Linked DNA regions of Drosophila melanogaster. The protein of the gene in region 2 interacts with the protein of the main gene of each other region in a pairwise test. Each region holds a gene or a part of one and is shown on either strand. Other genes may lie near its edges.

The links.
Region 1: the proteins of CG31244 (region 2) and CstF50 interact in a two-hybrid assay, tested with the Drosophila melanogaster proteins (one large-scale study listed by BioGRID).

What each region holds. Positions count from the first base shown.
Region 1 is NT_033777.3:31,734,871-31,738,575, reverse strand, and holds CstF50 (cleavage stimulation factor 50 kD subunit), read left to right. Parts: upstream 1-1,612; 5' UTR 1,613-1,695; coding exon 1,696-2,631; intron 2,632-2,685; coding exon 2,686-3,024; 3' UTR 3,025-3,073; downstream 3,074-3,705. Other genes in the region: CG11563 (uncharacterized protein), read right to left, coding at 677-917, 976-1,260, 1,337-1,434.
Region 2 is NT_033777.3:19,396,968-19,400,567, reverse strand, and holds CG31244 (uncharacterized protein), read left to right. Parts: upstream 1-2,000; 5' UTR 2,001-2,085; coding exon 2,086-3,051; 3' UTR 3,052-3,138; downstream 3,139-3,600. Other genes in the region: INO80 complex subunit, read left to right, coding at 1-356, 423-563, 694-871, 935-1,275, 1,340-1,601, 1,662-1,829.

The sequences.
Region 1 (3,705 bases), about 12 Mb from region 2:
CCTATTAATATTTTCACAATTTAACGGGAGCTCTGCGTGCACTTACCTCGAAATCACAAAACGGAAAGACCGAAAAAGCAACGATGCTGAGGTGAACGGAGCTGAACTGATTCCGACCTAGAGATGGCACAGGATTCCATGTATGACAAGGGCCTTGGGTTTCCTATTGCATTATGCGGATTTCTTGACTTAAATAAAGTTTCCATCCCTTAAGTATAAAACGTACCAAAATAAAAATAGTAATACAATTTTACTACCATTCATGGAATATTTTATATTCTCTTAAACTGAGTCTTTTGCAGATAAAATAATATAGTACTTTCACGGACTGTCACTAAAAGTATGCACATTCACCACTAATTGCAAAAGACATTGTGCACACTATTCGCTTATGCGTTGAAATAAGACGCAAGCTCCTTCCTTTCTCTCTCTCTCGTCCTGTCGTACGACAGAACAATAGAAAATTTGACAGAACAAAAATGTTAGAAAGGAATTTGAAAAAATACTGTTAATAGTAATGTAATGTAATTAACAGTAATGCTTTAATACGTAGACCTTTTGCGTTCGTCTTTACTTGCCTATTTTATTGTATTAAAAGAATTAAAGTAAGTCTAAACATTACAATTAATAGCATTAGAACCCGAAAACGACTATAATGTACATTGGTCAAGAGCCATTATTTCCATTCACTGTCCGACTCGTATTCCTCCCAGTCCGGTTTCACGCCCACGGGCAACTTCTTCTGCTCCAGGTAAACGTTAAACTGCTCCGGAATCGACATAAATCTGCGAATCTTCAAGCGGAACTGCCGCCACGTCCACTGGCCAAAGTTTTTCCGATCGGCAACCATCGCCTTGTAGTTAAACTTATGTTTGTTAAGAAAGTAGGACAGTTCCTTGACCACGCCCTTGGGTAATCTGTGCAAATACAAAACCTGTATTTTGACAGTTTTCCATTGCAGAATCAATATTTTACCTGAACTCTGGGTCGGCTCGCTCGCTAGCCAGTTGTTCTAGTTCCTGGACTACGTGTCCACGTTTTGGACCCTCCTCTACGACTGGTTTCTTGAGGCCCAATACACGCCGCTCATCCTCGTCCAGCTCCTCCTCCAGAAACCCATTCACAACTCGGGCCGCTAGGAGGCGGTCCTTCTTGTAGCTGGGAATCGCAATGGCCTTGTTGACGTCCTTGGCCAACCCCATTTCACTGAAGTTGGTGCCCACACGCTGGTCCTCCATCCACATCTTTTTCATCCTGGGACTGGTAAGATCATAACAGAAGGTTTTCGTAAACTTGTTGACTCTATTGGCTGTAAGTGCACCAAGATCCAACTTACTCCTTAATTTTTCCGGTGGAACTCCGGGTTTTATTCATCGTCTTGCGGTTTACATTGTAGCGATAACGCTTGCGAGCATGATTCTTGCGGATCTTCATTGTTGAGAGGTTTAATTAATGAATCAAACAATGTTTAAAATCAATTGAGGGGACCAAAACAATTTTAAAACCGCACGTGTTGCAGCTGTTAGGAGTGACCGTGGACCGTAAAATACCGAAACCCTGATTTCAGTATTTCAATACCGCATAGCTAGAGATGACATACCGGCAAGATAAATGTTTTCGATAACGATAACGGCACGGCGTTATCTACAAGATTTTGTTTATATCCGTAGGAAACAAAATATAAATTAAGCCACCATGCGTGATGAGATTTTGGACCCCAGTAACCTAGTGAAGAACCGGGAGATACTCTACCGACTGATGATCAGCCAGCTGATGTACGACGGCCTGGAGAAGTTCGCCATGGAGCTGTCCATGCTGGTGAAGGCGGACCAGTGCGCTCCCAGTGAACGCCTGCTGCACGTAATGATTGCAGGGATGCAGACGCTGAGCGACAAGGACAAAACCAACTCGGATGATGTGCTGCCCGGCATAGACTTGGAATTCGAGCCGGAGGCTTCGGCCTTGGCCCCGGAACCACATTCCTACGAAACCGCGTATGTGACCTCGCACAAGCAGGCCTGTCGCGCCGGCGCCTTCAGTTGCGATGGTTCCCTGGTGGCCACCGGGAGCGTGGATGCCAGCATCAAGATTCTGGACGTGGAGCGGATGCTGGCGAAGTCTGCGCCCGAAGATATCGAGCCGGGCAGGGAACAACAAGGCCATCCAGTGATTCGCACGCTCTATGATCACACTGATGAAGTGTCTTACCTGGAGTTCCATCCCAAGGAGCACATCCTGGCCTCCGCCTCGCGCGATGGCACTGTTAAGTTGTTTGACATTGCCAAGCCTTCGGTAAAGAAGGCCCACAAGGTGTTCACCGACTGCGAGCCGGTGCTGTGCCTGTCTTTTCATCCTACTGGTGACTACGTAGCCATCGGAACGGAACATAACGTCTTGCGGGTCTACGATGTGGCCACCACCCAATGCTTCGTGAGTGCCATTCCCTCGCAGCAGCACAAGGCTGGAGTTACTTGCGTGAAATATTCGCCCACGGGGAAACTCTACGCCACAGGCAGCTATGATGGTGACATCAAAATATGGGATGGGATCAGCGGGCGGTGCATCAACACCATTGCCGAGGCGCATGGCGGAGCGGCAATATGCTCACTGGAGTTTACGCGGAATGGAAAGGTAATGGGACACTATGGGTAGTGGCTGTGCAAGATTTTAACTTATTCATTTTAGTACCTCCTATCTTCCGGTATGGATTCACTGGTTTATCTGTGGGAGCTGTGTACCAGTCGTCCCATTCAGACGTACACGGGCGCTGGAACCACCGGCAAGCAGGAGCACCAGACAGAGGCTGTATTCAACCACACAGAGGATTACGTGCTTTTCCCCGACGAGGCCACCACTTCGCTTTGCTCGTGGAACTCCCGTAACGGCTGCCGCCTGACCCTTAACTCGCTTGGACACAACGGACCTGTCCGCTATATTACGCATTCGCCCAATGGTCCTGCTTTCCTCACCTGCTCCGACGACTTTCGGGCACGTTTCTGGTACCGAAGAGCAAATAATCAGTAAACGGATGAAGCTACACCAATCGAATAAAACTTTAAGGAATAAAATATGTACACGTTCATTATTCAATTATTGTGATTGGCTGTGGGGGTTTTTAAGTGTATCGATTTGTGATTTTATCAGAATTAATGAAATATGTTTCAAACGCTTTTAAAAATAATTAATCAGTAAAATTTTCTTTATTAAAAACTCGTTTGTGGTTTTTCCATGAATAGTTATCCTAAAATCGCAACTATAATTTCTAGTCATTGAGCGCACAAGTCTTAAGTCGTATTTGTTGCGTTAAGTAAACTGTAAAAATCATAATACATAATACCAGATTGGGATTCCGTATAAATATCAGTTGTCTCTTCACTGGAAGTCCGTTTTGTTGTACGCTGGAACATTGATCCAATGCCTTATGACTACACCTAGATCCTAGTTAAGTGGCCTTAGTAGTTAATTAAGTTTACAACATTTCGTGGGGCCGCAGAACAGCGTTGTCGCGTTCCTCCGAAGCCACCAACACGTTTTGAAGATTGCACAATTAGCCAATACATTTGATTCCAACTTGTTGCCAAGGAAATGAACAAAATTATACTACGGACTTTGAGTATTAAACAAAATATAGCTATGTACAACAAAAAATAAAAAACAAAGGTCTATATAAAAAGGTTTAACAAAATCACAAAGAGAAATGAAAAG
Region 2 (3,600 bases):
ATAAAGAAGGATGTGGAGAACGAGCTGTCGGATAAAATTGAGATTATGGTCTATTGTCCGCTGACCATACGTCAAAAGTTACTATACAGGGCGCTGAAGCAAAAGATCCGCATTGAGGATCTCCTTCACCTGACCAGTGGATCAACCACTACTTCGTCCTCATCTTCGGCATCGAACCTGATGAATCTGGTCATGCAATTCCGCAAGGTATGCAATCATCCTGAGCTTTTTGAAAGAAGGGACGCAAGAAGTCCGTTTTTCATGCGCTGTGCGGAGTATACCATTCCCAGATTGATTCATGAGGAAGGACTCATACACAGAATGCTGCCCAGTCGAAAGCACTTGCTCTATAACCGGTAAGTGGATAGGTTTTGAACATTTTATCATATTTGAATTTTTAATCCTTGACTGCCCATTTGCAGGTTCAATATCTTCAAATCGGAATACATACAGAGGTCTCTCTTTGAGGATGTGAACGTGAATAGTTGCTTCGGATTTACCCGGCTTTGCGATTTATCTGTGGGAGATATGGTAGAAGTAACTTTAAATGGACTGATAGATTTGTGAGTATTCCTATACCCTTTACCTGTAAGTAACATGTTTATAATAGCAAAATTCGCAAATGTCGTGCTCCTTTGTTTGATAATAACAAATGGTTAAATACTTACAATACTTACGTTTGTTTTTCTACAGTCTTTTGCATTATCGAAGAGTTTTGGAGAAATACCCACTGCTGGCCTACCGTCGCTTTTGGTGGAAAAAGCAGCCGGACAGTAGATATCAACTGCTGGAGCCGATGTTGGAAAACAAACTAGCTCTCGACTATATGCCACCAAACAGTGTCCTTAAGAACTTCATATTCACAGCAATGGTATAATTATTTATATTTATAAATTTTTATTCGAACAATTTATACAATGATTTATGCTTAAAGACCGCCAACGAAAGCAGCGTTTACGCATTTGGCGATTACTTTACGTACAATATGCAGGAAACTATCGAACACCGTGTAATTCGGTCAAAGATTCTGAAGAAGAAAACGTCGCTAATCGAGGAGATGGAGGATGTGTCCAAGCAAAAGCTGGAAATCGAGTCTGTGGAGGTGCAAACAAAGTCGAATGCCAAAAGCGATGTTAAGGTGACGACGCTGCTGCTGCTACCAGAGTTTCCGCATCGCCCACGAAAGCCAAGAAAATACGTATGCGAACCGCTTTCCATGCCACGAATACTTTACGATTTGGGACAAAAAGTTCAAGCTGTGCATAGATATTTATAGTAAGTTTCAAATGGATTCATCGAAACCGATCCAGGTTTTTAACTTTTTTTATATCAATTTTAGCTGCGATAGTCGATCTGCAGCGTGGTCCCAGATTCGCCACAATCAGTGTGAGAATAGCCAGGGCAGGGAGCTTGTCTCCAGTGGATTGGCCTTGTGCAAGCCTCATGGTGGATGGTCCTCGATTGTGGTGCCCGACAAGGAAACCCTGATTACCGATGCTGGTAAGCTTTTTGTTCTTGACAACTTGCTAACTCGATTGAAGGCGAATGGACATCGAGTACTCATATACTCGCAGATGACCAAGATGATAGACCTGCTCGAGGTAAGTTTATTAAACTTGAAACGATCACTGTTCAGTTTAATTTTTTGATAAAATGTCTAGGAGTACATGTGGCACCGCAAGCATCGCTATATGCGCCTGGATGGCTCAAGCAAGATATCCGCTCGTCGCGATATGGTTGCCGATTTTCAAACGAGAGCAGATATCTTCGTGTTCTTACTGTCTACGAGAGCCGGAGGACTGGGAATTAATTTAACAGCCGCCGATACGGTGAGTTCATATTATACTTACTTTTTCATTTATGTATATTGATGTACAATATCAATTTTTTTTACCGTGCCTTTCAAAAAAGTTTGTCCCTTGTTTCGATTTCGTTTAATTTTTTCTTGAAATCACATTGTGAATTTATATTAGTGCCTTTTAAAAACTTTTCACTCATACGCTCTCCGAAATTTCTATTGTATTAGTCAAATCCATTCATTTTCAACAATAACTTTAAGTAGTCCAAATTTCAAGTTCATTTCAAATGCATAACAACAGCTGTTTAGAACCCATGGACAGGACCAAGACTACGAAACTTCCTCAGCTCAAGTCCAGCGTTACTCCCTACAGACCAAAGCCGAACCTAATCCGTAGTGATTCCCCGAAATTAGAGAACGATAAGCGTAATGGGCTGGACTTGGAGCTTCTGGATAATCCAGAGATACCGAGCGTAAAGCGAGTACGATGGGCTCCGATGTATGGGGAAAGGAGCCCGAGTAAGACCGGCTTTACCAGCGTTCCACTAAGCTCCAAAAAGGCGCAGTTTGATCATGATACGACAGATGAGTTAATACTGGCTAACGAGCTTCGATTAGCGGTGCATCGTGGGGGAGGTTCCATAGATCCCGACAAGAACTACGAGCTGAGGGCTCGACTGTCGCCCTTGCAATTGCCGTACAGTCGAGTGCAGCGAATTCTGAAGGAGTGCGAGTTGAGCGAGAGGAATCATCACACCTATAGTATACCCATGGACTATGGGCGGCAATTGGTTGCCATGGTTTGCAAGATCAGGACGGATAATCTCCCCGAACTGAAACTTCGCTTGGCCTCCTTACTGCGGCAAAACAAAGCGCGCTTCTTCAATCGACATTTATTCAACGAAACTGGCTTGATTGAGGCCACATTGCCGAGCGTAACACCATTAAGCTTTGAGGAATTCAATCAAACGTTGCGAATTGATGCTTTGTGGTGCAAAGCCACCGATAGTACCATTACCGATTTGGCCAAAGGATCTGTTTTGTTCAAATGTCGGCCTCTGGACCTGCAAGAGGTCGCGTACAAACTCAGGCAGTGCAACTACAAGATTGTACATAAGGAGGTTGGACACTGTCCAAACAAGCCGCTCGTCGAGTTAAATGATCGTCAAATGGCCCGCTATCAGGAGTTTCGTAAAAACCTTCTTCAAGACATAGATGTCGTAAAGATCTATGACAATGTGCGTGTCCAGTAGTTCAAGTCAGTTCGGCAAAAATCACAAGTAATTTTAAATTATCAAAAGTTTAAATTATCCGTAATACAAAACTCTTAATGACCCTCTAGAACTTTATCGTATAAACTATTTGTATAGTTTATTGTAAAGAATGTTTTCTCTATTTTTTTTTAAAGTGTGTTTTGATCAGTACTCTATTCAAGTACGAAAAATAGCCATATGTTTTCACATATGAGAGCGTAATTATAATTGGGACTGCTTTGAGTAGGTACTCAAACGTCGAATATATAAGCGGTGACTAATTTGGAAAGTCAAATAAATTTTAAATATAGTACTATGACTTCTTCCAAAATGTTTTATATTTTTTCATATGCAGGCTTAGCTCTTAGTTCTCTACATTATAGTAATTGTTCCCCATTCATTTGATGATTTATAGACAGGTTTGGGACAATATTTTACACGTCAGTATAGAGAGAGAAATTCCTTTGCCATTGTCCCGATCTCGGTGGCGGAAAAACCCTGTGTGGCTCTTGTATTCATTTGCTAAACTACTTGTTCATGCACTGCGGC